4 linked regions of the Saccharomyces cerevisiae S288C genome follow. The gene in region 4 interacts genetically with the main gene of each other region. Each region holds a gene or a part of one and is shown on either strand. Other genes may lie near its edges. The genes, in order: HXT5, TDA3, ALT2 and SRY1.

Evidence for each region.
Region 1: mutations in SRY1 (region 4) and HXT5 together harm fitness more than expected from each alone (negative genetic interaction), as found in Saccharomyces cerevisiae (2 studies listed by BioGRID).
Region 2: mutations in SRY1 (region 4) and TDA3 together harm fitness more than expected from each alone (negative genetic interaction), as found in Saccharomyces cerevisiae (2 studies listed by BioGRID).
Region 3: mutations in SRY1 (region 4) and ALT2 together harm fitness more than expected from each alone (negative genetic interaction), as found in Saccharomyces cerevisiae (2 studies listed by BioGRID).

What each region holds. Positions count from the first base shown.
Region 1 is NC_001140.6:292,029-301,094, forward strand, and holds HXT5 (hexose transporter HXT5), read right to left. Parts: upstream 4,420-9,066; coding exon 2,641-4,419; downstream 1-2,640. Other genes in the region: hexose transporter HXT1, read right to left, coding at 1-597; PAL2 (Pal2p), read right to left, coding at 5,357-6,332, 6,457-6,581; SFB3 (Sfb3p), read right to left, coding at 7,117-9,066.
Region 2 is NC_001140.6:118,844-127,692, forward strand, and holds TDA3 (Tda3p), read right to left. Parts: upstream 6,838-8,849; coding exon 5,266-6,837; downstream 1-5,265. Other genes in the region: STP2 (Stp2p), read left to right, coding at 1-596; ERG11 (sterol 14-demethylase), read right to left, coding at 1,248-2,840; YHR007C-A (uncharacterized protein), read right to left, coding at 3,707-3,922; superoxide dismutase SOD2, read right to left, coding at 4,046-4,747; 60S ribosomal protein eL27 RPL27A, read left to right, coding at 7,678-7,708, 8,270-8,649. UniProt on the Saccharomyces cerevisiae protein: Putative oxidoreductase that negatively regulates the retrieval of cargo from late endosomes to the Golgi. Regulates YIF1 and KEX2 localization. Required for fast DNA replication.
Region 3 is NC_001136.10:675,855-681,828, reverse strand, and holds ALT2 (alanine transaminase ALT2), read left to right. Parts: upstream 1-2,064; coding exon 2,065-3,588; downstream 3,589-5,974. Other genes in the region: PDS1 (securin), read left to right, coding at 212-1,333; replication fork barrier binding protein FOB1, read right to left, coding at 4,027-5,727. UniProt on the Saccharomyces cerevisiae protein: Inactive alanine aminotransferase. Forms a catalytically active Schiff base with PLP, but lacks alanine transaminase activity, probably due to an altered structural conformation of the dimeric enzyme.
Region 4 is NC_001143.9:13,889-22,094, forward strand, and holds SRY1 (threo-3-hydroxy-L-aspartate ammonia-lyase SRY1), read right to left. Parts: upstream 4,452-8,206; coding exon 3,471-4,451; downstream 1-3,470. Other genes in the region: COS9 (Cos9p), read left to right, coding at 597-1,820. UniProt on the Saccharomyces cerevisiae protein: Catalyzes the deamination of L-threo-3-hydroxyaspartate to oxaloacetate and ammonia. Shows a high specificity towards L-threo-3-hydroxyaspartate as other 3-hydroxyaminoacids, i.e.

The sequences.
Region 1 (9,066 bases), on a different chromosome or scaffold from region 4:
TTCACTGGGGGCGACCTCAGATATTAGCATGGGAGATAAAACTGTGATACCACCGACACCTAAACCAGAGATAATTCTACCAATGAAATATTGGTACCACTTGTTGATCGAGGCTATTTGAATAATGATACCGATAGTGTAGATTACTACAACGACAATCAAACCGATTCTACGACCATACATATCACCTAGCTTGGCTAAGACGATACCACCAATGGCACAACCAATGTTAAAAATAGAGACAATTAAACCAGTTCTCACCTTGGACAAGTAATGACTACCGTCGTGGTGCTTCATACCAAATCTTCTTAGAAAATCAGTTTGAGCAACAAAACCAGAAATGGTACCAGTATCCCATCCAAATATGAAACCACCGAAAGCAACCATAACACAACAGATAGAAACCGTTACGTAGACACCTTTTCCGGTGTTTGGAGGGGCAACGGCGGGTTGCACTTGACTTTCACTTAAGTTGTCGTGAAAACTTTCATTTTTACCTTCTGGAGTATTCATGGCCTTTGAACGACCAGATTCCAATTCATATGAGTTGGATGAATTGGATTTCTGAGGAGATATTAGATCGGGAGTTGAATTCATGATTTTACGTATATCAACTAGTTGACGATTATGATATCTTTATAGATTTTAAGGTGGGGAAAGAACATGAGACCCCAGATGGAATTGATTATGGGGACATTGTTGCCTTTATATATAATTTCAATATACTAATTCAAATGATTAAAAACGTGAGGGGGACACGCAACTTCGGGTGTTAAGAAATATTTTGCTACATTAGATAATGGTGGAGTTTCCTGGCTTGTCGGATAAAAGCCATCAAATGTCGCAGCAGCTCATGTTTACGTTTGCTGTCTTCTGCCCACGTCATATGAGTGGTATTCTTCTATCAGCACTTGATGAATATTCTTTTTCTCATATATCTGAAAGACAAAAGATCGGCACGGCAATGCCCTGCAGCATTTCTTCCTAGTTTTTCCGAATTTCCATTACGTATTGGATCTTGTGCGCATATTTGTCAGTCCTTCACGGAAAAAAAAAAAGAGCACTGGGTCACTTCGGAAAAACTTTTGACTCAATGCAACAGTGTCATAATCCTTTGCGCTGTCTCTTTGAAGAAAAATCAGGAGTGCAAGATATCGATTAATTCCTTGGAAGTTATGATGGTTAGTCTTAGTTTAACTCTCTTGAAGAAGGGTTTTTTCAGTTGGTCAACACTCTTTAGAGGTAAAAAAAAAAAAAAAAAAAAAAAAAAGAGAATTCTTCATGTAATTTACCATGATTCTACGTTTTTGCAAGCAAAAATGAAGATAATCCGAGCGCATGCGCAAGTAGTCCCTGCCATGCCGCTTCGGAAAAACTTTCGAAACCAATACTCCTTACATCCGCCTTGAATTTAGGACCTACAATTGTTGTCTCTTCTGCTTGAACCAATAAGCCCTAGAAACCTTACACCCTAATTTGCACAAGAAAACTACGAAAAAATTTTTTCCTCTTTTTTCCGCAGCTCCAATCTCGCCCTGCTATTTTTTTGGTTCGGAGAAAAATAGTCGGTCGATATGAATTGAAGTTTCATTGTGGCCACTCGTTTAGGAATGGAATAACCTCCGCGAATGGAAAAAAAGAACTCGGAATATCAAAAATTCCGGCTCAAAGGAAAAATTTGCTTCAGGAGGGGGGAATTATATTCCAGATGAGACCTGCAAGGATTTCTGTGTGAGGTTTTCTCGGAGGAATAATAGTTTTCCAAAAATTACTTTTGGCAACTACGTGAATATAATTGACTACGGATATCCTTCGAGAAGGCCATAAAAAGAACCGTGACAGGGCCAAACAGAAAAATAATGAAGACAAGTTTGCTTTTTCTCTCACTGTATTTGAGGATCGGAAGCTTTTTGCACTGAAAATATTCTGGGTTAACAAGGTTTAAAGAAGCAAACTGCCACAAAGTATATGAGAGTATAACCGGACGGTACCTATACTTTGAAGTTGGAATAAATACGGGGTAGACAAAAAGGATGTGTTTCTGTATGTCTGATGAGAATGATGTCATCAAAGAACGTAAACAACAGTAACTGTCTATATTCTTGCTTTTTATTATGCGCTGTTACAGCAGGTAGCGGAGTTTTCAGTTCTTTCCCTAGTATGTAGTATGAAGGATAATACGGTAAAAGAACGGGGCTCTTGATTCATCATATAAATTTATTTTCCCCTGTTGAAACCTCGAGTAACCGTCCTCACTGTTTTATTACCAAGGATGAGCTCGAGCAGTTGTAAGAGAGAAGTGGGCAGAAAAGTATAAGTAACAAGAAACGATATACAAGTTCTTGTTGTTAGGCGTAGCAACCCTTTCTCCCCTGGTTTGATCCTACTTAAAATAAAGAAAAAAAACAAAAACGTCATGATGATTTTGATATTATTAGACATACGTAATTTAGTTGAATTAAAGGAATAACAGGCAGCCCTATTAACCACGGACAAAATATCTCTGCATATGATTGCATTATTTGTAAACTATGAATGAACATATGAACGAAAACGATTAATATTAATATTAAAATTTGAAATGGTGCAATGCTGAACATTGCAAGTATGCGAAAATAGTTGATCCTACACTACAAGAGATTATTTTTCTTTAGTGAACATCCTTTTATAAAATGGTCTCGGATCATTTCTAGTAGCGTCTAGGTCATAATCTGTTGTTCTCCTAGATGGTGGGATCCATTTGGTAGACTTCCAAGGTAGCACATTTTCTTCATACATTTCGTTGACTTCTTCTAATGTTAAGCCCTTTGTCTCTGGAACAAAGAAGAACACATAAAAGTATGCGAACACCATACAACCCATAAAGACATAGCCATAATAGAAATTGATTGCTGAAGTAATAAATGGAGTGAAAAAACTGATCAAGAACCCCCAAATCCAGTTACAGGCACTTGCAATCGACATTGCTTTACCACGTACTCTTAAGGGATACGACTCAGAGATAAGGACATAGGCAACGGGGGCCCAAGTGGTAGCGAAACAGAAAATGTAGAAACATGCGAAAACAATCATACAGTTACCAGCACCCTTTGAAGATGGTTGATCTTGACCGTTTGGCCATAATCTGGTAACACCAACAGAGGCATAGACGACATAGCAACAAATCATACCTACACAGCCCCATAACAAACAATTACGACGACCAAAACGATCGACGGTATATAGCGAGAAAAAAGTCGAAACAAAATTAACAACACCCAAAACAATAGCAGTTTCAAATGAATCTTCCAAACCAACAGCCTGGAAAATTGTAGTACCATAGTAAAAGAAGTAATTGTCACCTGTCAGCTGTTGTAAAGATTGAATCATCATACCCATTAGTGTACGTCTGAACATCTGGGGCTTACCAGTAACCAATTCCCCCCAAGAAGCAGAGCCCGCCAATCTCTCAGCTTCAATAGAAGACTGATAGTTCTCCATTTCTAAAGTTACTAAAGGAGAGTCTTCAGTGGTTTTGTTAGCTCTTGCTAAGGACCGCTTGGCCTCTTCAATTTTTCCCACTTCTACCAGATAACGTGGGGATTCAGGAACGAACGTCATACCAACAATCATAAAAATAGACCATGCAAAGCATAAGCCTAATGGTACCCTCCATTGGACAGAGTTTGAGTAATTCTTGGTACCAAAATTAGTACAATATCCCAAAAAGATACCGAAAGTGATCATTAATTGGTAACATGAAACCAGAGTACCACGCAACTGCTTAGGCGACACTTCAGAAATTAGCATAGGCGCCAAAACTGTAATACCACCAACGCCCAGTCCTGAGATGATTCTTCCAATGAAATATTGATACCATTTGTCAATGGAGGCGATTTGGATGATGATCCCAATTGAGTAAATGACGACAACAGTCATCAGACCAATCTTACGTCCATACATATCACCGAGCTTTGACAAAACTATACCTCCGATAGCGCAGCCGATGTTGAAAATAGAAACCATCAAACCGGTTCTGACATCGGAAAGATAGGTAGTCCCGTTTGCACGGGTGCTGCCAAATCGCCTAATGAAGTCTGTTTGCCTGACAAAACCAGATATAGTACCAGTATCCCACCCAAACACGAACCCACCAAAAGCAACCATCAAACAGCAGACGGATACAAATAGTAAATCCGACTTCGATTTCTTCTCTAGTTGTTTGTCAACCTCCTTCTGAAGCTCTTCCAGTTCGTCTTTGGGAGGGCCTTCATGGGAAATGTAACTTGAGACGGGTTTAGCTTGTGCCAAATTATCGTTGTAACCGGCGGTACCAGGAGCAGTCGAGTTTCCTGACTTCTCGTTGTATGAGTTAGAATTTGTGCTCACAGTAGCAGACCCTTCCAAGGGGCCTTGATGAGCGTTTTCAAGTTCCGACATTCTTTCTTTACCTCTAATATATTCTTTTTTCTAGAAAAATAATATTTTTTGCTGGTTTTAACAAAGCTATGAAGTAAAATTGCAAAGTGAAAGCGAATCTTGTTTGCGTATATTATATATAGAAAAATTATTCAATCGACTTTTCTCTTTCTTTTGATAGTTTCTTATTCTTAGAGGGAGAACCGTTCGACTAGCATGAAAAGAAAAGAGAGAGACTCTTTTATACGTGAAATCAAAAAGAAACCAAACTTGAGGTACTCTACTAATGATTCTGGCCCTCCTTTCTTGTTTACTCCGTGCCCCTAAAACTAATTAACCCATGCCCATATATTCATCCACACGACCATTAATATTGAACATAAAGATATCATTTCACCAAGCAGTACTTCACTCAATAACAAGGTGTGAAATCCGGTATATTATTCCATCGCTATGAGTGCGGGATCAGAAAGTGAATTACTTACTGTCCCCTAATGTGCACAGCCACGGGGAATGCGGATCAACTGCAGAGAAAAGGGCGCACAGAGTTAGAATGCATCCCTTAATCCGGGAAGTAACAGTAACACGTCATGCGGATGTTTCTTCGGTGGGTATGGGTCACAATTTCGTCCACCAGTACATCACAGCATGCTCTCATTTCTTTACTTTTTGCTAGCAGATGATTACTTTCATTTCGGGTGGGATGGGCCACCTTTTTAGTTTATCCTCCGGGATGCCTTAAACAAGAAAATGGAACAGTGGGGATAAGACCCATAAAAAATCCGAAGTGATAAGTATTGATTGGTATATTCCCGTATCGGAGACCTTAACATAACATAGTGTAGTGATTTTGCGTATAGAAAAGTAACCAATAAAATAAGGTAAATATTGCTATATGAATGTAATAAATAAAATAATATATGGGCGCAACAAAAAGAACGCAAGAAAGAAGCATTGATCAGTGCTTTTTACTAGTTTTCAAGCTTTTCACCCTCCTTAATAGCTTGTTGCCGGTGTTTTCCTTTTTAACAACATCTTCGTGACCGCTTCCTTGGGTGGCAGTGACCGGAACAGAAGTTCTATTATCGTCTACGTCCTTTTGCTCCAAGTGTCCACTATGTGTTTTCACTAGCTTTAAATTGTTGTTGTTCACTTGTAGATGTCTTCTTGAGGGGAGAGACTTTTTTCTTGCTATGCTGTTTTTCCTACGAGATTCTTGTGCGTGGTTGATAACATCTTGCTCTATGGCAGCGGAAGACGCTGGTGCGCCATCCAGGAACGTCGTTGAGCCTAGACCCATCGTAATGGGCCCATGGACTAGTTCAGTTTTCATTTTGGAATCGAACTGGGTAATATTTTTTGAATTCGGTTTAATCGCATCCAAAGTCGTAGTACTGGAATTGGCCTTATTGAATAAATATGCTCTATCTTGTAGTTGGTTCAGCGTCTCAGAATCGTCGTCTACTGTTTCCCTACCAAACACCTCATCTAAGGTAGACTTCTTACTTGTGCGGCCGCCTACTGTATTATTTGGACCATCTGCTGGGAAGGCCAGTACAGGCGCCACTTTATTATTCTTATTTCTCTGTGGAGTGCATGCATCAAAGGGGCCGTCATGATGGAAAGATCCGCCAAATAATCCTGTAACATCCATCTTGTCAATAGTGTCTACATTTTTAGGGGGCTTAACCTTGGTTCTGCTTTTGCTCTTCTGCTTATCTTTGTCCCTATGTCCGTGTGATGTACGACGATGGTGGTGGTGGTTGTGTTGGTGACTATTTGAACCACTACTGCGTTTCTTTTCTTTTGGGTATGGAGCTTGCTGTTTCGGTGTCCCCGCAGCTTCTTCATATGATGGGAGTCTTTCTTGTCTAGAATTGGAAACGCTACTGTTATGGGCCCTCCTAGTGTCATCTTCATTTAAAAATGGGTTACTGCAATAATTATGGATTATCTCAATCGATTTTGAAAGGAGAAAAAGAGTTAAGTTAGTATTCTGAAGTAGTCATGACTGTTAGTTACACTGTAGTGCAATTTTGGGAGTGGAGCTACACATACTTATAATTCCTGGGCGTTTCATCCCTGCTTGATACTCTGTCCTCTGAAGGAGAAACTCTGAAGGGGTTAATCACTGTATTCACGCCATTTTGAGGACCGCCTATGGTCCTTCCTGTTTGATTCATTTGCGTCTGTTTGATATAGTATTCTTTGGAAAAAACGCTTCTGAAATACAAAATAGTAGTAATTTTGCAAGATTTACCAGAAGACAGTCAAGAAAAAATAAAGATAAAAGAGGAAGCAAAGCTACAGTTTTATCCCTGTAATTATGAGATTCTCTCATCCTATGTAGAATTTCACCCTTTCTCTGCCTGCGTTTCACATACTGCCTTTTTTTTTTTTTTGGCAGTATTCTCAGCATAGTCAGCGTTTCGCTGCCGAGAGCCCTTCTGTGGCTGGAACCCCACCAAAACACGAACCCAAAAATACTTCTCCTGTATTCCCCTTGATCAACGCCTTTCTACATGAGGAGGCGCAGGTGAATGCAGAAAGGCACAATATAGCCAACACGTAAAAATCACAATCATATCAGTCTATTCATTCATTTACGTATTTAATTATTTAGTAATGGATATACGAACCGCATCGGCCACAGCCACAACAATATGTCGTTATTTCCAGTTTTCTGCGTGTAAGCACAGGGTCTCCTTTGAGCGAGGCTCAAAACTGCACAAATTTTTGATGGATATTTTCGTGAGTTGCGGCAGTCGAGACTTTAATGAAATCGTCTTTTTGAAGTTTTTCTTGAATTTTTTTATGCATTATCACCAAGTAATTGTCATATGATTCGATTCTGTTGACGGTCTTGTCCTCGCAAAGCAATTGACTCATCACATTACTGTAATATTGATCAACATTAGGCCTCAACAAGACTAACGGCAATGATGACTTGTTGACTACTTGTTGCCAGTTTTTAATGACGTTTGAAGCCTTTTGATTAATACTAGTGCCCGTCTCAGGCAATGTTCCACTAAATAACGAAATTTGGCTGACGGGCAAGGATTCATCCACTGACAGCAGGTCTTGCAAGAGCATTCTATTGGTGTTCTCATTAAACCATAGATAGATAGTATCACCTTGGAAAATCAAGTAGCAACCGCCGTTAATGAAATTAGAGTGTGAGGCTCTTACAGATAGATTATTAATAGAGCTGGAGTTGATCTGTAATAATTTATCATTAGCATCGTAAAAGGTCAGATCAGTTTCCTCTAATAATACATGGAATGGCACAATTTGTGGATAAAGTTTGTAGCAAAGTTGTGCTGAGTTCAATGAATCGTACTTCAATAAATCATAAATTCGTTCATTACCACGGGTACTTTGAGCGTTTGGCTTCATTAATTCGCTTTTTTCAAATGCTAACATGTAAGCAGGCAATGTCTTTATAGAATCCGGCAGTATCAATTGCGTTGATGAGTTACTGCTAACCAATCCTCTATATTGGGTCAAGATTTCGACCATCTTGTCATCAATTAATCTTCTGATCTTTACAAAGTCACAATCACCGAGCGTCTTTATGACATCTTTGATCATTATTCTCATGACAGGATTTTGATTTATAAACTTGAAAATTTCACGAATGTTATTAGATACCGCACCTGACGTGTTAATAGAACGAACTTTTCTGACACCATCAATATCAGTATATAACAATGCAGTTTGGAAATGAACATCGGTTCCTGTTTTTATTTTACTGTCATATTTTAGTAAGACATCTAAGGTGGTATCTCTAGTCAATACAGGAATAATTGGATCATGATCCGTATTATCAGATGAATCGCAGTAGTACTGTTCCACAGATAGCCCAGTAGAACAGCGAACTTTCAATAAAGCTTGATAACCAACAATATTGGAGACATTTGTAACCATGTCGTTAACCAAAGTGAAGGCATCCGTCTCTTGTTGAAAGTGGGGATAATATTTCAAAATACCGGAAGTCATCTCTACAGGATGGCCCACAGTGGCCATATCAATGAATCCCGCATTGGTCACATATAAATCTAAAGAAATGTAGGATTTCAAAAAATCCGATGCTAATTTCTTATAGAACCCATTGTCGCATTTAACATGAGCAATGTGTGCATTGTCCCTTTTTAGCGATAAATTCCCGTTGCCGATCGTTGGCAAGCTGTTCAAAGAACAAATAATCTTACCACCTTGCCCGCCAGTTACTGTGTCTAACGCTAATTTTGCGGCTTGTAAAGCAGAACCATAACAGACTTGGGGTACGTGACTATACTTGTCGGTGGAGATGTAACCACTAATTTTTATCAATGTGTCATTAATGATTTTCATCGAGTTTCCGGGTTTAACAAATAATCCATTATAAAATGGTAAGAAAACATCGTCCAATTCACTTACAATGTACTCTTGTGCATTATCTAAATCTGGTCTCAAATTAAAGAACCGCAACTTATTATCATAAACGATTATAGCAACCTCACAATTTGGCTGGAAATCTGAAATATACTCAATACATGACCTGACACCTTCCACCATGGCTAAAGAACTTCCGTTCTCATTAGCTAACAATGAAACATCAATCAAAAACACGTAGTGTAGTGGTAAAAGCTCCTTCTCCTGAATAGCATTGTAAATACTTGGCACCAA
Region 2 (8,849 bases), on a different chromosome or scaffold from region 4:
CCGACGAAAGTGTTTCCGAACCAGCTTTACAAAATAAGAATTGTATAGAAGCGACAGTAATGCAGTCCAAGGAACGCCCTAATGACAAGATCATACCAACCAAAACCGAAAAAAACGATTTTGGAATAGGCACTCAATGGTTTGAACGCAAACAAATATCAAGACCTACACAAACTACACAATCAAGAGGACCTACAGAAGTCCAAAATCTCAAAGAGTGGTCAATAATATCTCCCCCAATTTTGTCACCCCAAAATGCATCTTCTGTACCACAAGAGTATCAATCATCAAGATACACATTGCATATGGATTCTCCAGCATTATCCTCTGCCTCCTCAGCGCTATCTCCACTTTCAGGCGATCCAATAACAACTACAGAAACAAATAAGTCATACCCATTGGATTCAGAGCAATCGTTGTTGGAGCCAGACAAAACCGAGGAGGACGCAATCAATCAGTCAAAGGAAAGCAATATGATTTCCATTAATGAGATGTTACAGAAGCAAATGGACTTTGAACTTCTGGGTGAGAATCATTTGAAGGAGACTCAAGATTATCTGGCCCTTTACAAAAAAGCTTATGGGATAGAATTTTAAGGTTAATTCAGGTATTATTTTTATGGCGGTTTCAGGTATTTTACGTAATATTATTATTATATCATTTTTGTAGCAATATATTATTTTTAGCGGTGCTTTATAAAACAATGGATACTAAGGATGGTTCAATTCACTCATCATTTGGATTTATCACTATAAAAAGCAGTAATGAATCTTATATACATTTATTTCAGTGAATCCATATTTAAGAGAGCTTCCTCAGTGACCCCTCCCCAAAACTCCTCTCCTCCTGGGCCCTCTCTTGATTAATTTAAATTGCAAAAAGATTTACAAGTTTGCGAAAAGACTGCTTTATTTCCGCTTGGCCTGTGAGCTGTGTGTTCTCTCTTCTAATCCAGTAGGCATGTTGCATAAATAAACCTTATATTTGATGTTGTTTTAGAAATGTAATCTATATATAATTTCGTAGTATAAATATTTATAAATAAAGAAGTGAAACCATACCACTCATAAATAATGCGGGATGGTTGTCCAAGTTTGAAAGTAACTAAAGAACATAACTCGATGTCATATCAAACGTACTGGCAAATAAAATAAATCATTGGAGATGGATGAGTGTGGCGATAAGGCCCACGTGAATGTACAACTTCTCTCTTTTTCTGTTTTTTTTTTTTTTCTCAGTTACAAACCTTAGATCTTTTGTTCTGGATTTCTCTTTTCCCAGATGATCTTGGCTGGACCGGTTGGAAGAGTAACCATAGATGTAAAGTCAGGAGGTGGAACGGTCTTACCCTCTGGGTAATGCCATTTTAATGTTCTGATAAAAATGGACATTAGAACACCTAGCTGACAGTAAGCAAAGTGTTCACCGATACATCTGTGTCTACCACCACCGAAAGGTAAGTATGGAGAGCTGACACCCTTAGAAATGGCACCGAAACCGTAATCGACTTCTTCACCGACGGAATAAGAGGAGGCAGAATCTTTGTTCCAACGGTGAATGTTGAATTGGTGAGCATTAGGGAAGTATTCGTCTCTTAAATGAGTGTAACCTGGAGAAACCAAAACGTGATAACCTGCTGGGATGACATAAGAAGTGTTTGGAACGTGCATATCTTTCATAACCTTACGGAACAAAGAGTGCAATGGATGGTGCATTCTTAGAGTTTCCTTAATAGTTTGGTTCAACAATGGCATTTCTTGTAATAAATCGTAGGTCAATTCCTTCTTACCACCATCCAAAACACGCATTTGTTCTTCGTACAATTCTTGTTGGACATCTGGTCTTTCAGCCAAGTGCAACAAAATCCAAGCAGAAGTGGCAGCAGAAGTATGTTGACCACCCATTAAGACACCAATTAACAAGTTAGCGATTTCTTGATCAGTCATCTTCACACCATCCTTGTAGGTAGAGTTCTTCATCAAGGAATCGATCAAATCTCTGTCTTGAATGTCGTTGTTCTTTCTTCTTTCCTTAATCAAAGACATGTAAGTACCGGAGATAGCCTTTTGAGCGTGATCTCTCTTTCTATAGTGTTCCAATGGTAAGTTAGGGAAGACGAAGTTGATTGGAGTGAAACCCTTATCCAAATCACTGTACAAGTAAGCAAAATCGGTATCCAATTTTGCTCTCATTTCCTTACCCAATAATGATCTTGAAGCGGTGAAAATAGTCATTTCAGGTTGAGTAACCATCACGTCAATAGTACCAGTAGTTCTTTCATTCAAACGGAAGTTTTTGGAGTCTCTGAAGTACTTGTACACTTCTTCAGCAATCAATGGAACGTAGCTCTTGAAGGCTTCTTTGGTTAGAGCACCCTTAACAAACTTCTTTTGCTCCATCAATCTAGAATTTGGACAATCGTAAATAACACCTTTACCGAAAACTGGAGTAGTCAAATGAGCGTAAGCAGCTTCTGCTGAAACATCTGCCAACTTAGCGTTGAAGACAAATTCGTGACCCTTTGGTCCTAAATACACAGTCATGACTCTTCCTAACAAAACGAATGAAAAAATATCACCGTATTTCTTTTGACATTCTTCGAAAAACTCGTATGGCTTCATACCGTACACAACAGCACTACCGACCCATGGAATCCAGTAAAACACTAGAGGTGGACGGTCCTTTCTCAAAGAATATAGTAATTGCCATACAATATTGTAAATGAAAGGAATTATTATGATCAAAGAGATTCTTTGGGCCAATGGTAAAGCCAAGAAATGACTTAAACCAATGTTTACGTATTCCAATGCCTCTCCAACGATTGACTTGGTAGCAGACATCCTTGTATTACTCGTTTGTTCTGTTTCTATTCAAGCCTGCTGCAATTGTGAAGGAAAAAAAATTTTTTCTGGAAACTATTAATTAATATAATGAAAAATTATTACTTCCTATCGAAAATACACACGCTGAACGATACTGCTTATCAATCTTTTTATAAATAATTTACCAATAACGAAAAGGGAAAAAGGAAAAGGGAAAAAAAAAAAGACATTGAAAGAGAGAATTAAGAGGGAATAAGAAAACTAAGGGAAAATACGCTATCTTATATAATGAATACACATGGAGGGCAATTTTTAGAGGCTTTTCGAATACATGCGAGTACGTAAACGTCGTTAACTCGTGGAGATGCACAATAGGATGTGCTCATACCAAGAAAAAAAAAAAATTCAGGCATAAAATCGATGTCTCCTGCAAGATACCTACCACACTTATTGTGTTCTGCAAGAGACTATTGTCATCTGAAAAGCGATTATCTTGAAATCTTAGTTTCGTTTCGTTTCGTTTAGGGCCAGCGCTTCGTTTGTCTCGTTTTTCGTGGATTATCGGCCTTTAAGATTGTCCAACCCGGCAAATCTTGCACGCACATTGTATGTGCGCTGCTCGTATAGTATCCACTTCGTGTGACATTACTATAATCGTACGGCTTAGTCGGGAATAAAGGCTGGCCTCATTTTCGTACAGAGACATTTTGCCGGAAATTTCGTATTTTGCTGTGCCCCCGGTAATTCCCGGGCGCGGCACAAAACCTCTCTAAACAACCGCCCATTGTTGCAATTGTTCGTCTGTACGGGACAGGCGGCGATCATAACGTCGCACGGTGCACAGCAATTGCCGTTTTCGGAGATCTCCCTGAGTAAGCAGTCGTTTACGACCTTAATGGCTTTACAATTATCGGTTGGAACAATAACAAGAACAATTGGTTCTCTGCCTGGTGGTGAGTTAATCTGGTGGGAATGTAGTGCACAGGCGCGAGTAACGTAGGAAGCGAGAGAGAACAAGGAAAAAGAAAAAGTGGAGGAAGGTTGGTTGTATTGTCTTTTTCGGTTCTTTTCTTTTCTTTTTTTCTTTTTTTACGATGCATGTATATGTATTTTAATAGTAAAATATATTATTAAATAGGGGAGTGTGGTTGTGTGATTTAGTAGAGTAGTTAGAATAAAAACGACACAGTGGAAAAAAAAAGGTATTTTCTTTCTTTCTTTCTTCAGATCTTGCCAGCATCGAATCTTCTGGATGCTTCTTTCCAGTTGACCACATTCCAAATGGCTTTGAAGTAGTCGGCTTTCTTGTTTTGGTACTGCAAGTAGTAGGCGTGTTCCCAGGCGTCAATGGCAACTAGAGGAACTAGTGGGCCTGTGACGGTATCCTGGTTGTAGGTTTGAACAACGTCCAGCTTGCCTCCATTAGAGAGGTTTTTCACAATGAAGGCCCATCCGGAGCCCTGCACGCCTGCTAGCTTTGTGTTGGTCAACTTAATCAGCTCGTCCAGACTGCCAAACTGCTCGTCGATTGCCTTTGCCAAAGCGCCGGTGGGTGGTTCACCACCGCCCTGCGACTCTGGAGCCAGGTTTTCCCAGAATAGACAGTGGTTTGTGAAACCACCGCCATGGAACTTGATGTTTTGTTGGATAGCAATCATTTTTCTTGCGTTTGCGGGAGAGGGCTCCTTGGCCAGAAGATCTGAGAGTTCTTGGAATTGGTCAACAGCAGTGTTGAATCCGTTCACATAAGTTTGATGGTGCTTGGTGTAATGCAATTCGTTGATTTGACCGGAGATATAAGGTTCCAATGCACCGAAGTCCCACTTCAAGTCTGGCAAGGTGACTTTGGTTCTCCTTGCTGTGGTGGAGAGCAATGACAAACCACCCTTCTTGGTTAAATTAGCAGCTGCTGTTTTCGCGAACATCCTGGTACGTTTTTAGGAGGTATAGTTATCAATTGGGGTTTCGTTCCTGTAGCAGCAAGTGAAAAGCAATCGCTGTAGCTAGCTTGTATATTTTGGGGATGCAACGCTCTTATATACAAGTTATAGCTTCTTCATCAGGGGTGTCTGCTACGGTCGCGGAAATTTTTCGGCACATCCCTACTTTTTTTTTTGCGAAGCTAGTGGTTCGGCCTGTGTTATTGGTCCAGGTTTAAGGTCGCGCCAACAATGATAATAGCAATTAGTAATCAGCTCAACCTCAAGTAGAATACTACACGTGCAATCGGTAGCATGCGCAAGGGCAAACAGGATAGACGCCAAGAGAGAAAGAGAAAGAGAGAGAGAGAGAGAAAAAAAAAAAAGAAATATATAGATTTAGGTATTCGTTAAATATATACACATTAAATGGCCTCAGAAATTTTAAATATATAAATAAATAAGCTCTTATATGTACAAATTTGTGCATATACTTTTCTTGACCTTTTTACTCCTCGGCTTGATTAAGAAAGGATGGTGGCGTCGAAATATAACTTTGGATCCAAACTTGAGATTTCCGCAGAGGTTGCTTCGCCATCAAGGAGAATCTCAGCCATTAATTTACCTGTTGCTGGCGCATTGTTAATACCCCAACAAGAATGTCCACTTGCAATATAAAGATCCTTGACATTTGTCTCACCAATTAAGGGACCAGAACTTGTAGGAACGTTTAAAACTGGCAAAAAACAGGCTTGTTTCCGCAAGAGATGGCCCTTTGATAGAGTTGGCGATAATTTGGATACGTAATGGTACAATTCATCACACTTCTCCGAAACTACCTCCACATCGTCCGAACTTTCAGGTATATTGACTAAAGTGTCGCCTTCGCCGCACACATAAACTTCATCTTTTCTAGCATACATTTCAGGGGAGAAAAATTCACGGTCGTTAACTTTTAGTTCAGCAAGAATAGCGTAAGGTGAAACTGTCTTTTCACTAGGCTTAATGGTGACAGAGTGGGCTCTCAATCCAGAAATTGGACAATCTTTTAGAATCTTGGAAGTCCAGGGTCCCATACTCAAAACAATCTGCTGGATGTCATTGATTTCAATGGGCTTCGCGTTCTCATCGTTGAAGATTGTACCCAGCTTAATGTCTGGATTTTCTGCATGCCCTCTGCTATTTCTGCGATTCTTGACGACAGATGGAAGGTACTTAAGAGAATGAACACAATCCATCTCGTCACACTTTAGCCCAACTACCTTACCTAGGAGAAGATCGACAGCACCTGTTTCCATTGCCTTCGATAAGATGAAATGGGTGAATTTATAGGGATGAAGCTGCGCTGTGGTATCAGTACCACCTAGTGATGACCAATCATTAACCAATTCTCTTCTTATCCAATCTAAATCAGCAGGCAAAGGATTATGGATATTAGTCTCTCTCAGTTGCTCCACGGGACTTACAGAGTCAAGATCAGATGCGCTATTTGTGTGGCTTCTCATGCGCTCATTTGTTAGAGAGTGTAAACTGGGTACTGAGCTAGAAACATGAATGTCTGATCCTTCTTCCTCGTTACTAGCGGAGTCGTTTTTCAAAGAAGAGCCCGAAGAACTCAAAGATGAATTAGAGTCCCCGATGTTAAACTTGTTGGATATGTAGCCCGGTCTCTTCTTTGGAGGAGGGACATTCAGATTATATGCCTTCTTGCTCAGTCTTTCGTAGTTTTCAATGACTTCTTCGCGAACATCTGCTTCTAAGGACACAGTCGTCAATCTTCTGTAGTCCCAGTTGTTTTCTCCATCATATTCATCACTCAACTCCTGATGTAGCTGGAAACTTAAAGGTACGATTTGGTGAGGGAAAGCCCAAGATGCAAGCAAGCCACCTGCTTTACCAGAAGCCCCTCCAGCAATGCGCCTCGATTCAATGATGGTAATATGATGCGTCGAAGGGCTGAAACTTGGATGCTGGGTCAAGTAGTAAGCAGTACAGCAACCGATGATACCGCCACCTACAATGACAATATGTTTTTTCCCTTCGCTGTTCTTTGAAGGGTACGTTTGAAACGGTGGGTGCATAAAATCTTCACCCATTTATAAACACTATTCCTTCTGTTGCTTGGTTAAAATGCTATTGATACTTAGATGGTGTATTGGAGAGCACGAAAATCTTTTGCTGAGTGACTTGAACTATCAAACAGAATTACTTGTTGGCTGATTTTTTTTAAGTCTTGATTTAACAATAGAAAAAAAAAAAAAAAAAAAAGGAACAATATAACTTTTGTAGTACGTGTGCCAGGTTACAGATATGGTTTCACTTCTATGTCGTGCTTTTTTCATTCATACGTAATCTTATGCATGTAGGGGATAGACGCACAAAAGCACCAAGGCTGCATGTATTGATAAATTGGCTTACACGATTCCAGCTAAGGGGACTCGGACGGAACCGTCTCATATTATACGTTCAGTGAATATTTTTCACGGAAGAATGGAAAGGGCCTCGAAAGACGTTAATGCATCCGTACACCTACATCTTTACATTTTTTGCTGTTGCACCTACACTGTTTTTTTTTTTTTCACCTTATGAGTCCTGTATTTCTTGAAAGAGCCGATAACAATATTCCAGGTGGAGTCCCGAGGCAGAATCAAGGCTGCGGAGAGAAGTTCCTCTCAAACTAATGGGAGTGATCCGCTCAGTTCTCCCATCACGACAGAACTGTCTGAGACAAAGTCTTTCCAGCAGAGCTCCGCCTACGCTCTTGCTGCAGAGATTCGCCCGAAGGCAGGTTTCCTGAAATTCTTTTCACTAGTAAAGTGTTCGTTCATGTAAAACATACTGCCGTAGTTTTGAGCTAAAATTAAAGATATATTAGATTTTTAGAATTTCTTAGATAGTCTCAACGTGTTAAAACAAAAGCATAACCAAAGAAAAAAATGGCTAAGTTCTTGAAAGCTGGTAAAGTTGGTACGTATCATTTTCAGTTTTTGGACATCAACAAAAAACCGTGCAACTGTGGTATTAGAAATCCAAGTTATTAGCAGTTGATGTTGTATAATTTGAGTTTGAATTCGAGTATTGTATCTTCATATGGGAGTAGGGAGGAAAAAGCGTGGAGATGTTAGATCTGGGAAAAAACCTTTAAATTTGAATGATAGCTTATTAATAGAAATATTGGACAAAAAGATGAATGATTTAGGAGCGAAACTAACGATTATTCATATTCATTGAGCTATACGAGGCAGTGGAAGGGTTATCAAAAAGTTGTAATTTAAAAGAAAAAAGCATCAATAGCCACCAAATAAGATGGTGAAAGTTCCGCGATATATTTGCTAAGACCATAGGCACATGTACGCAGGCGACCAGGGCCTTTTATTTACTGTAGTTCTTTCCATGCCCTATTAAAAATTCGTGGGCCTATGATAATTTTTCTCTCCCTAGTATTGAAGAACAAAATTGAGAATTCGCCAAACTTTAAGAAGGGTTCACATTTACTAACTATTTCTTTTCCTTCCTTTTTTTACACAGCTGTCGTTGTCCGTGGTCGTTACGCCGGTAAGAAGGTTGTTATCGTTAAACCACATGATGAAGGTTCCAAGTCTCACCCATTTGGTCACGCTTTGGTTGCCGGTATTGAAAGATACCCATTGAAGGTCACCAAGAAGCACGGTGCCAAGAAGGTTGCTAAGAGAACCAAGATCAAGCCTTTCATCAAGGTCGTCAACTACAACCATTTATTGCCAACCAGATACACTTTAGATGTTGAAGCTTTCAAATCCGTTGTTTCTACTGAAACTTTCGAACAACCTTCCCAACGTGAAGAAGCTAAGAAAGTCGTCAAGAAGGCTTTCGAAGAAAGACACCAAGCTGGTAAGAACCAATGGTTCTTCTCTAAGTTGAGATTTTAAGAGAATTGCATTATGGTCAACCAAAAATCAAAAAATTATTAGTAATATCAACATATGTATATTTAATGTATGTAAACAATGATTAAATATTAATAAAATATATCTACATATAAGTATACGCAAATGGGGTTTTTCTTCAAAAAAATTGTTTGCTGGTGTTTTCAACCTTAACGACAAAACGAATCATAACGCGGTAAAGG
Region 3 (5,974 bases), on a different chromosome or scaffold from region 4:
CTTATCGTTTTCACACAAAGATCTCAAACGCGTCAAAAAACTCGTGTAAGAGGTCAAAAAGAAAAACAAACAAAATAAACAAACAAAATAAATGCAGCTTTAAATCAATATTCGGCGAAGGCAAGTAACGGTTGCTAGCGGTTTTTCCCATTCACATACTATTACACTTCTGCGGTACCAAGCTAGATTAAGTGCTAGATAATAAACCTTTATGATGCCAGCTAACGAAGATAAAGAGAATAATATCGTATATACAGGGAATGAAAGTTCCGGCATTAACTTTCCACAGACGCCGGCTCACTTGCTGAAAAGGTCGCACTCTAATATTTTAAAACCACCTGTAAGATTGGACCAACTCAAAAGGGATGCGAACAGCAACAATGGCAACACATTAAAGTACATACAAGGAGGGAAGGAGGTGTCACCCACAAAAAGGTTGCATACCCATGCGCAACAACAAGGAAGATTGCCTCTGGCAGCAAAAGACAACAATAGATCGAAAAGCTTTATTTTTCCCGAAACTTCTAATCAGAGTAAAGATGCAGACTTACCACAACTACAGAATACACTATCTATACGCAAAAACGACCAACTCAGGAAACTTTCGCAAATTTCTCGCAGTCGTAGTAGGGCCAACCATAATGATTTGTTAAGCAATTCAAGAAAGTTACAAAAGTACGGTTCTGTCCTTGGTTATAATGCTTTACCTAAAATGAAAAGTCTAGTTTTAAAAGATCTTGCAGATTCAGGTAAAAATGAAGAGAGTTCCGACGATGATGAAGGTAATGAAGATTCCGAGAGTAAACTTGGCAAAAAACTCCAAAGTGCACTTTTAAAACAGGATTCCTCCGACGGTGAAAATGAATTAAATGGTGGCCTAGGACTATTTAATGAGCAAGGTGGTCTGCAACAACTCATAAAGAACTCCACGAAGAATGAGCAAAAAACTAAAAACGATAAAAGTGATAAAACTGATGACTATGATATCGAAATAGCACCACAGAGGCAGGAGCCGTTACCGTATGTACCAGAAGGCTATTCCCCATTTCAACAAGATGATATTGAAAAGCTGAAGACGTTCAACTCACCATATAAGCTTGACTTGGAAGACGAAGATGACACCCCAGATAAAGTTGATTTACTCCCACTAGAACAAATTGATGAAGAAGGCGAAAAAGATGAGACTGAGTGCATCACTCGGAATCAAGAAGAAGGTGCAGCGTTACCACTGCTGTCTAAGAACTTCAAAGAAGTTGCCGCCGTCCCAACCATGGAGTTAGTGTACAGCGAAGAAGGCCTCGATCCTGAAGAACTAGAGGACTTAGTTACTTAGATCCACTGCTCATTCACATACACACAACATATATACACGTATATACAGATACTTTATAACATACAATTCTGGTTAAAAGCGGTTGCTCCTGCCGCCGGGATTTAATCTGCGGCCTCACCCATACCTCAACTACCGCCATTGTTCGTACGTTTTAAATGGCTTCGCTTCACCCTTGATTGGCAAAGGGTCCAAGAGGGATCACATCACGATACTATTGTTTCTACTAATGTGCTGCGGGCTGATGTCCTCCACACGTCTTCAATTGCTTCTCTTTATGGGTTCTCAAAGTACTTCGTCATAATTACTTCATTATACCTAAGAAAATAATTTCATTTTTTTTCTGAATTTTTTAGCAGAAAAAAAAAAAGTTCAAGTTTGGCCTCATTCGCAATATTTTCTCCATGGAAACGGCTTGTATCTTGAGGCTTCTCCTACTTGTTTGGCGATTTTATTTTATTTTTCCTACTCTTATGGTCCCATATGTACATCTACATATCTCTTCAAATTACCAATACACTTTTAGGATAGCTAAATTTACTACTTCGTGTGGGAACTATATTCTGTTCACTTTTCTTTTTGATCCTTTCTTGACTGACATCATCCTTTTCTCATTCAGTAAATACCCCAATATTTCCTCATATCTCTAGAGGCATAAAAGATAAGAATAAAGGGAAGGAGCGCCACAGTAGTGTTGTTTTTGTAAGTGGTAAACACAGAAGAAGTAAGAACACATGACAATGACACACCAACAGGATTTGAAAGGTGTGTTCACCGCAAAGGATTTGGATTTTAAGCCCGCTGGCAAGATTACTAAAAAAGATTTGAATACAGGTGTCACTAAGGCAGAATATGCTGTAAGAGGAGCTATTCCAACCAGAGCTGACGAGCTAAAAGAGGAATTGAAAAAAAACCCAGAAGTTTTGCCTTTCGATGATATTATCAATGCGAACATTGGTAATCCGCAGCAACTGGATCAGAAGCCTTTGACCTTTACCAGGCAAGTACTGGCCATCCTGGAGTACCCGGAAATTTTACGAGTAGGCCATAATGAACTGGCTTCTTTGAACTTGTTTTCCAGGGACGCCTTGGAAAGAGCTGAGCGCCTCTTGAATGATATTGGCGGTTCTATAGGGGCATATTCGCATTCTCAAGGTGTGCCAGGAATAAGGCAAACAGTTGCTGACTTCATTACTAGAAGAGACGGCGGTGAGCCCGCTACACCGGAAGATATTTATTTAACCACTGGCGCTTCGTCCGCGGCAACTTCTTTGTTATCTTTATTGTGTAAAGATTCTCAAACAGGCCTGCTGATTCCAATTCCGCAGTATCCGCTTTATACTGCATCCGCATCTCTTTTCAATGCACAAGTGCTGCCATACTACTTAGATGAGGAGTCAAATTGGTCTACAAACAGCGACGAAATTGAAAAAGTAGTGCAAGATGCTTTGAAAAAACAGATCAGACCATCTGTGCTGATAGTTATTAATCCAGGTAACCCAACCGGTGCAGTTCTTTCTGAAGAAACCATTGCCAGGATCTGTTTGATCGCTGCGAAATACGGCATTACAATCATTTCTGATGAGGTCTATCAAGAAAACATTTTCAACGATGTTAAATTTCATTCGATGAAGAAAGTCCTAAGAAAATTGCAGCATCTTTATCCAGGAAAATTCGATAACGTTCAGCTCGCCTCTTTACACTCCATTTCTAAAGGATTCATGGATGAGTGCGGCCAAAGAGGCGGTTACATGGAAATTATTGGGTTTTCTCAAGAAATAAGAGATGCTCTTTTCAAACTCATGTCTATATCCATATGTTCTGTTGTCACAGGACAAGCTGTGGTTGATTTAATGGTCAAACCACCCCAGCCTGGAGACGAGTCCTATGAACAAGATCATGACGAAAGGCTGAAAATTTTTCATGAAATGCGTACGAGAGCAAACTTATTGTACGAGACGTTTAAGGAACTAGAGGGTATCGAATGCCAAAAACCTCAGGGTGCAATGTATCTTTTCCCTAGGCTTGTTTTACCTAAGAAAGCTCTTTGTGAAAGCGAACGCCTTGGCATCGAACCTGATGAGTTCTATTGCACATCTTTGCTAGAATCTACAGGTATTTGTACTGTCCCAGGGTCTGGGTTCGGACAAAGACCCGGGACTTATCATGTGCGAACAACGTTTTTGGCTCCAGGGACTAAATGGATTCAAGACTGGAAAGAATTTCATCAAGATTTCTTCAGCAAGTATCGTAATTGAATGAAAAAAAAAAACTAATGATAATGGCTTTCTATTTGTTTTGCATCCATGGTGGGGGTGAAGTTTAAATTTGTAATAGTATACATGCATCATTCTTTACTAAGGGAAATAAGGAAAAGTATATATCTGCCTCTTGTAATATTGTTCAAGGAAATAAATTTTGGAGCATTCCTCTGCATCTATTGTTCAATTAAAAAAAAAAAAAAAAAAAAAAAAAAAAAAAAAAAGTAATTATTCATATAAAACCACCTTGCGGGCAAGATCATATTATCCAAGTTGATACTTATTTAAAAATATAAAAATTTTTTAACCGCGTACATTAAATACAGGGTCATATACAGGAAGAGCTTTCAACACCTTTTTGAATACTTTATATGCAATAGGTGCTTTTTTTTTTCACCTATGGTGACTCCTCCTTTCATTCTATCCTACATATTATTACAATTCCATTGATGTGCCAAAGTCTCTTGTTTGATCTCCATTACCCTGTTGGTCTAATTTCTGTCGTTTTGTTGACGGCGATTCCAGAGTTTGATAGTAGGAAGTTTCTGGTCTAGTTATTTCGACACTTTGATCTACTTGTGATGCACCGTCACTTTCTTTTTGATCCCCTTTTTCAGGCTCTTCTGTTCCCTGCATTGGGGCTGCCACGCCGGTGGACTCTATTCGGTCCTCATCGACATTATGAGGAGGCTTTTCTTCGGGAGTTAAGGTATTAGGTTCAAATTCGCCCTCTGAAGAATCATGTGCCAAATCATCATACTCATCGATATAGTTTTTTTCAGTTAGATCAAATTGTTTTTGCACTTCTTCTTCAAAGTTATCATTTCCTATATTGTTATTATGAAGAATTCCATTATTGTTACAGCTATTATCCGCTTCATTAGCAAGGGCAAAAGTATTGACATCTTCCAAATATATAAGACCTTTTCCACCTGCCATCTTGAACATATTACGGGAATATGTGTTTTCTATAACCCTTTCTCTCTTAGTCTCAAACTTGGCATTGTGACCTGGAACTTCACTAAGTAGTACTTGCACAGGTTTACGTTTCGTTCTCTTATTTCTCCTTCGGTTGAATCTGTAAGGGCCATATCTTAGGCACTTACCCCAATCGGCTAGACATTCCTTCTTATAACTATTTAGAGCATACTGAATGCACAGTATACCCCCAGTATGAAATCTCGCAGAACTCTTCAAACCCAAGCCAATACGGAGACCGTATTTTGATGCAATTTCTTCACAAATATCATAAAGATCATCTTTATCTAAAGTGCTTGATGTTACGAAAATTGGAACCCTAGCAAATGTTAAAAAAAGTGAGGAAACAACTGGGATAAGATGTTTGAATTTGGTACTCTTAAGTGGTAATAACCACATAAAACTAGAGCGATAGTCTCGGCATAAAAGGACATAAGAATATTTTCCCTCAATAGCTTCTCCATTGAAGGGTTCGAATACCTCAATATGTATCCTTTCCATTGGTAGTAGTTTATCGTACATGTCAGGACGTTTATATTCCTTCAATGGTTTAATTTTGCCCTTTTTATTACATTTTGAACAAAATTGCTGGACCCAATCGATGATGGCATGACTAATATTGGCAAAATGAGAAAATAAAAAGGAATGTAATGTTTTACCCCTAAGATGCTTATTCATCAAGTGTGTTGCCATCACCATGTCGTATACATGCTTTGGCTCACAGTATATTTTATCATTATTTCGGCCATCTCTAACATTTCCTTCATCATCAACATAATACTGTCTTTGCAAAAATAACAGCTTGTTTTCTGCCACTACACCATCGTATTTATCACTTATTTGTTGCAAGGTATCTGCAGTTAAAGATTTTGTTTTTATTAGTTCATATATTTTCTGCGTTAGTTGTCTTGTCAGAGATTCAAGAAAGATTGGTGTTTCTCTTTCTCCCCTTTCCAATAATTCTAAGTTCAAATAAGAGTCTACGTACTCAGTATATGATTCCCCCATAGAGGGAAGTATCAGTAGACGATCTTTTGAGGACTCTCTTGATTCCCCAGGTGACGTTGCCTTTCTTCTCTGCGATTTCCTCGTAACTGATTCTGATGGTACCGAGTCATCATCATCAAACAACACGTCATTGTAACGCGGTTTCGTCATTGTTATCCTCAGCACAAATTCACACTCACACAATCGTTAAATTGTTCTCCCCCCTGAAGGCTTAATTCAATGTCGTTAAAATGAATACATGCGATGAGGAATCACCTCGCAATTTTTTTTTCTTTTCAATATATCGCGAAAAAGAAAAAATATCAGTATTATCATGTAAATAATTATGGCTGACACCTCATATTGAATGTGGGGGTAAAGATACTCTGGGTTTCTTGTTTTGATATATATAAGCTCT
Region 4 (8,206 bases):
AACTTAACAGAAGCAGAAGACCGTTCTTGAACTAGGCTGCACTGTAGAACGCTGAGCACTTTACCATTCACCACGCTATTTTCAACGGAAAAATCAATAAATCCTTGAATTGCCTTCATTTAAATGCCAATTACACCTCGTATATCTAAAATTGCTGACATATATTATTTCTTTTTGATACTTCGCTGGGAATCTCACAGAAAGGTGGCTCTAGAATACAGAAGAACAAAGTACATAGTCCGTAATTGATGTATGAAGTTAATGGGAAAGTACGAATGGTACTGTCCACTCAAGTAATACTTTGAGATTGAAATTTGAAGCTTTTTCAAGTAAATACCATAATGATACCAACAATGATACCTACAATTTTAAATATCGTAATTGTTAACTTGATTTTTCATAATCTCATTTACCGACTTGCAATACTAAACGGGTACCAGCAGACAATAGAAAACCTTCTCATTTGAAATGAATTCTAATTGTGAAGGCGGAAATGCGTACTTTGAGGAACGTCTATTGTCGTATAAAAGTTTTACAATTAACTAAGCCAATGTATGATACGCCCGCTTGGCGGCTTTTTCTTTCCGACTATATAAATGCAAATAGTCAGAAGTTGTAACTCCAATAACAAACCCCTCATACCGTCCTCAAATTGGCATATCGCTATCAGAATGAGAGGCGATGGGGTTAAAGATAGGAGTATAGATGTGTTATCCCTCAAACATTTCGAATCCCAGAAAGTTGTTCTGCCTCAAGACCTTTTCATGGATAACTTCACCTGGATGTTTTATGAGTTCTTCAAGTGCTTCACGTTTCGTACCTGGTTGCTATTATTACTGCTAATGTGGTTGCCAGGTTTTCTTTCGCAGATAAAGTCCATCAATCGGATTTTTCCGTTTAAACTTTGTATTTTAGTCTCATGCCTAGTGGGGATATTTTTACCCAATATTTATTCATTCTCTCATAAAAGTGTGTTAACGAATCAACTTACTCAGTTCTCCAAAGAAATTGTTGAACATGCACCAGGTACTGATACTCATGATTGGGAAACAGTTGCGGCAAATCTAAATTCTTACTTCTATGAAAATAAAGCTTGGAATACTGAGTACTTCTTTTTCAATGCTGCAGAGTGTCAAAAAGCATTCAGAAAAGTTCTTCTCGAACCATTCTCTGTGAAGAAAGATGAATCTTCGAAAATAAAATCATTTGGGGATTCTGTCCCCTACATCGAAGAGGCCTTGCAAGTCTATTCCACAGAATTTGACAAAAAGTGGAAGTTGTTCAATACTGAGAAAGTGTGGAGCCCTGATAACTTGGAACATGTTCAGCTCCCCAAGAAAACTTATCGTTATAAGTTTACCTGGGTTCTCAAGAGGATTTTCAATCTCTGGCTTTTTCCAGCATTTATTCTGTTTCTGGCTTGTATCTATGTGTCATGGGATAAGGGCCATCTATTTCGTATCTTGTGTTGTGGGGGAGGTTTTCTCCTTATGGTAAGAGTTTTTCAAAATATGAGGCCCTTTTCCATGCACATGGAAGACAAAATGCAGTTCTTGTCAACGATTATAAATGAGCAAGAAAGTGGTGCGAATGGATGGGACGAAATTGCAAAGAAAATGAACAGGTACTTGTTTGAGAAAAAAGTCTGGACTAGTGAAGAGTTTTTCTTTGATGGGATTGACTGTGAATGGTTTTTTAACCACTTCTTTTACCGCCTTCTATCTACAAAGAAACCTATGTTTGATAGACCTCTAAACGTGGAACTATGGCCATACATTAAAGAAGCGCAATTGACCCGCAAACAGGCGCCTCCCGTGTAGGAACAAGCATGCCTTTTCAATTTATAGATCGTGTAGTTTATTAGATGCGAATAGCCTAAACAAGGTCGCTTATTATTATTATTACAACTATTCTTTTTCCTATTCCCCTCTGGTTAACAAAAACCAGTATATTAACAGAAATAAATAATAATAACAAAAAAATATGAATATAAGAATAAATTGCAATAAATAGTAATATTTATAAAATATAAAAAGAAGAAATTTTTATTCTTTTTATATTTTATTATAAAATAGTTCAATTATTTATATTATTTAAATGTTGTAATTTATTATTAATAATTATATTTTATCAATATTTATACGATATAAAAATTTAAAAAAATTATAATATAGAAATAATAAATAATAATAATATGATAATAAAATAATATATAAATAAAAATGATAAGATTATATTAATTTATTTAATTTTCAAATTATTAAATAAATAATAACCTAATACTTACTTTTCCTAATATTATTAAAAATGGTTATTGTCAAACCCATTAACTGATTATATTATAATATTTCAATATTTAATTCACTTAATTTGTTGTTATAATAATTAATGAAATAGAGAAACTATAATCCAATTGATTGTGCAACAGTTTGATCTTCCAAATCATAAAAGAATATTGAGTGTTAGTTGGTACTGGTCATAACTATCCATTTTGAACATAACCATGTAACTCTTTTCCCGTCTACTGTTAATCAAGGGAACATGTTGAAAGTTATATCAATACATGTGTTGAGTATTTCACGCGAATTTATTGCTACAAAAGAGCACTAAGTAATACATCGTTAATTTCTGCGGTAGAACTGACCTGGTGACCTTGCTTGATGCTTTATTGTTTGTGGGATCTGTCACGTATATCGCCATATTTTTTTCCTACGGATATAATGTAAAACACTAATTTATCCTTCAGGGTTGCTCTTTAAAACTCAATTGTTGAATAACTTGGTATTCATATATGTGGCTGCTGCGAATATCTTGACACATATTATGATTATCAAAAAAAAGTGAAGAACTAAATTTAGGAGGATTTCTACAGTTTTGGTCTTGGTTAGGTAATAATTCCTTAAAATAGAGGCTTATCCTTTCCTGTGGACCATAAATATCTTCATGCAAGATCTCGATTGATTAGTAATAAGAGCAGACGATATTGTGTGTGGAAAAGAGAATTTTTTCTGCGTATAAAATAGGACATTATGACAGTTACCTTTAATTGAAGTAGAGATATGTTTTTTCAACTTAGAAGCTATGTCTTTACTGGGTGTAAGCCTAGGAACGCTCTTCTGTTTTAGTTCAAAATATGCAAAAGAAACTAATATACCAGTAATGCTCATAGTCACAGTCAGAAGTTATATTATTAGTTTGACATAAGCAGTATTCTTCCCTCTCACACACTATCATTCTGCCAAAAAATTTTCCCACATAAGGGTGTCAGTTCAGTGAAATATAATACTAGTAGAAAAATATGTAGAGTTATCAGAGTATAAATCAGCTAGAGGCTTTTTTTGCTGAACTCACTTCAAAATCTCAACCATGTTATTAATGTTAAGTCAAATGATATATGCCGTGTGAAAGTAGACAACTAAAGCTTTCCAATTCTTCACTATAAAACTGAACTCAAAATTCAAAAGTATACACTAAATCGTTGGGCCATCTTCCTTCCCAGAGATTAAAGTAGCATATCTCTTCATGTCTACATTACCTCCACTTAGTATTATGCCTACTTTCTTCCCAACTAGCTCTTCCTTTTTTAGAAGTGCACCTGCAAATCCCAAACAAGCTGTGGGCTCAACAACCACCTTCATGCGTTCCGCAAGAAAGTGCATGCATTTTACTAGCTCTTGGTCGCTAACCGTTAAAATATCATCGACATTTTCGCGAATAATGGCAAATGTGTACTCACCGAGGTGTTGTGTTTGAGCGCCATCTGCGATAGTTTTTGGCGTATTGATATGAACAATGGAACCCGATCTGAAGGATTGTTGTCCATCGTTACCAGCTTCAGGTTCAACCCCAAAAATTTTGCAGCCTGGAGAAAGGCTTCTAGCGGCAAGTGCAGATCCTGAAAGGAGCCCACCACCGCCCAAAGGAACAAATAATGCATCAAGTTGTCCAACCTCTTCTAATAGCTCTTTTGCCGACGTACCTTGCCCTGCAATAACATCAGGATGATCGTAGGGCGGAATCAATGCAAAACCATGTTCGGCTGCTAGTTGACGCCCAATCTGCTCGCGATCTTCAGTATACCTGTTATACCTTATGATATGTGCTCCGTAACCGGCTGTAGCAGCAACTTTAAGGGCGGGCGCATCCTCGGGCATAACAATTGTTGCAGGTACATTTAATAGTTTTGCACTAAGAGCAATAGCCTGTGCATGGTTTCCTGATGAGAAGGCAATTACTCCCTTACTTCTTTTTTCATCACTTAATTTTGAAACAGCATTCATTGCTCCACGAAACTTGAACGCTCCCACTCGTTGGAAATTCTCACCTTTAAAGTATATTTGTGCTCCAAGTCGATCATTAAGCATTCGTGAAGTGAGAACCGGTGTTTTATTTACATATTCTTTAATTCTGTTGCTGGCATCCAAAACGTCTCCATAAGTGGGAACAATCATTTTTCCAACTCAATGAAAACTAAATATCTCGAACTATATTAATTATTTGTACTTTTTAAGTTTTTTTTCAATACTCCTTTATTTGAATTTTTGCAGAATGAAAATGTAACTCTTTATATTCCAAAGCTTATCTTTTTCTCACGTACCGTCCTATAGACCCTGATTTTATGATAAGAGGCTGAATTTACTAATTAGTCATTTTTTTCAGTTTTTTTGTCATAGAAGCCACATTTAAAAGAAGTCAGCCAAGTTACCTGTAAATATTAAAACAACCTGCTTAGAATGACTGTTAATTTACAGAATTTACGATAAAAATATAACTTGGCTCTAGGGCGTGATGATAGTGACAAAAAACTCGTCAAGTAAATGTTGGGAGCTTACTTGCCGTCGTTTTCTAACGCCAAAATACACGAATCATGTTTGGGAAATATAAGTGATTAGAACTTGTCCAAGGATATTGTCAAACAATAACATACTACAATAATCCTAGATCGTGTATTATTTGCGTATGGATAAATATACCTCAAGCTTTATGAGGCATAGAAAATTCATTAGAGTCACTACTTACGTCGCACTCTCGAGGATTGGAATGACGAAATCTTCTTCAGCATTTCACCATTCACCTTTTGAAGCTTCCTATCTCGTTGCTTAAGTAGAATGAAAGCATAGCAGCCCAAAAGAAAAGCCTCCCTCAGCAAGAATATTAACAAAGAACAATTCATGGACCGTTTCTACTACTTAATATCTCTATCACAACTGTCAGTCTCAATCAGTACTTAAATGACGCTGCAGAAAAAGATATCATTATTTTTATCATCCCCCTAATAAAATAAGTAATGAATCAATGCCATTAATTCGGGAACTAGTCATATACCTAAGGAATCAGGCTTTGATAGCTCTTTAATAATAATATTAGGGCATTTTTGATATGGTAAAAGATTAGATTAGGAAACCCCTTTTGTAGAGCATCTCACTACAATATCTGCAAAAACGGTCACCTTGCATAGGCAGAACACGCTACCTTTGAGTTAATTCACAGGGGAGAGCCCTTTTTTTTTCTTAGCAAAAGTGCTTAACAATCTTAATTTCTGGAATGTTTTCGGCGGATTGTTGTATATTGTTTGAATTTGTTCGTTCTAAAAAGTGAGACACCTGCACTTTCCACGCCAAGAACACTAATACCTTTAAACATGCCAGCGTACTTTAAAATGCCACGAGTCGCCCCGTACCAAACATGCTGGCGATTGTAATTTTTCGCCTTTTATTGGAATCGAGAATTCGGGCACTGTCCTTTTCTTCGTCATTTCAATGTTATAATCATTTTTATCGCCAAATTTTCTTCAATAAAAGGTCTCTTTTAAAATATGTTACTATGTTTTTTATTTTTCTATTATTTTTCTATGTGATTTTTCAGACGATTTATTCTTTGTTCGAAGGAGAACAGATGCAACGGTCAAGTTTTTACTATCCACATGAGGAGCCGTAATATTCTAAAGGCAAAAGCATGTGTGCTTGTAAAAAAAAATCAAAAAAAGTTACTGCTCCAAGCCAGCAAGCTTTCTCTTTTGCGAAATCTTTAACACGGTTAAAATCAAAGACAATTACTTCATTGACAAGGTCAATGCTAATATTTACGGTCTCCGCACGAAAGACTCTGAAAAATGTTAAAATTTATAGTGGCTAATGCTAATTCAAGAATAGTCTCGGGTTGTTTGATCACATTATTTTAATTTTTATTGAGCACTGAATAGGACCCGTATGTTCCAATCAGTCTATTTCTTGCAACTTAATCTGGTTTGTTTTTAGGGGAGTGGCATTTTTTTTAGGGTTATTCAAATATTCAATTCTGTAATTTGCTTACGACAAAAAGAAAAGGAGAGATGAAAAAAGGGCGACGGGTATAATCTATTCAGCCGCCAATGTCCCGACGTATGCCAAAATGTGGTGCCGCGGTAACAGTAGCATCACACAGAGCATGAGAAAAGCAAGAAAAGTGGAAGTCTGTATGTCACATTTTTATTGAAAATGCTATTTGCTATAAGGTTCGCTATTCAACTGATTGAACCGAGATAGACAAAATGTTAAACTTTTCATAGAGACGTTATTGTGATAGGGTTTACGCTGAGAATGGTTGAAACATACTTGCTAATAAACCACGTCACGTCAAAATATCAGTTTTTCTTTTTTAGTTATTCCCTTCTCACTTTTGACTTGAGATGAGATCGTTACACTTTTATTGAATACGAACGGATCACGATACATCCACATATACGAATGTTCGGCCAGACAGGGCATCAGAGTATATACCCTTTTTCCTAAAATGGAAGGGCCCTAGATCGTTGGCATCAGCGGTTACCTAACCGAAGTGGATCAAATCAGCGCCTATTTTTCCGTTTAGAACGATTAGATGCCGTCAATATGTATGTGCTTACTGTATCATCCACGTAGTAAAGCTGGGGCGTAGCATCCCTAGGTTACTTTCTCAATACTGGGGTCCCTGACCAAAGATAAAACATAACCTATTATGGCGTACGAGTCAAAGTTAAACGCTATTTGACTCGGGCAGCATGCATGACCCGGGGGAATGGAAAACTTCTCATGGCTACCCCAACGAAGCCAGACAAGATCTAGGAGATGTCTCCACCTTCCGAGCTACACTCTCACATCTCTTACATAGACACTGTGAAGTAAGTGATTGCACACAATCCAAAGAAGCACATCAAATAATATGTAAATATTACCCGTACAAATGGCAAATCATGTCCACTTTCCCGTTAGTCATCGGGTGGGCCGGTCCTCGCACTTTCCTTTTGTTTCGGATGTTAATTAATATATAAATGGATCTATAATTTTCAAAAGGTATAAACGCACAGTATGAAAAATATTGCAAGAATAATGTGTTTATAAATTATTTTTTTTGCTGGTAGCAAAATCAACTCATTGTCTTCCATTCAGAGTCTAATCGAACGTTATCGCAATGCTTGCACACTTTTAAACAATACGATTTAGTTTAAGTGGATGGACCCCCACGCTTAGTGTTCCACAGGTTTGTCCCCACTGTTTTTACATTCCACTGTACATTTTTGCAATAGAAGGTCATTGTATGCTACCTTGGGCGGCTAAGAATACCTGTAAAAATTTGGAGAAATTAGATTCGTAAAGAATGACTCGCAACGACTCCAATGATTTCTTCTTTTCACCCTTTGAACGGCCGATATCCGCGCGGGATCCTGACCCCGCAATTTACTCCACTAGACCGGCGTGTTTCTCTTTTTCCTTTTCCTGGGGTTAGAGCCCAAGAGCTAATAGCCGACAAACGGACTCCAAAAAAAAAAGGAGGCACAGGACAAACGCAGCACCTGCGTCATTCACGCTGAAGCGGCAGCAAGCATTTTCGATCAGCTCCAATTAAATGAAGACTATTCGCCGTACCGTTCCCAGATGGGTGCGAAAGTCAGTGATCGAGGAAGTTATTGAGCGCGCGGCTTGAAACTATTTCTCCATCTCAGAGCCGCCAAGCCTACCATTATTCTCCACCAGGAAGTTAGTTTGTAAGCTTCTGCACACCATCCGGACGTCCATAATTCTTCACTTAACGGTCTTTTGCCCCCCCTTCTACTATAATGCATTAGAACGTTACCTGGTCATTTGGATGGAGATCTAAGTAACACTTACTATCTCCTATGGTACTATCCTTTACCAAAAAAAAAAAAAAAAAAAAAAAAAAAAAAATCAGCAAAGTGAAGTACCCTCTT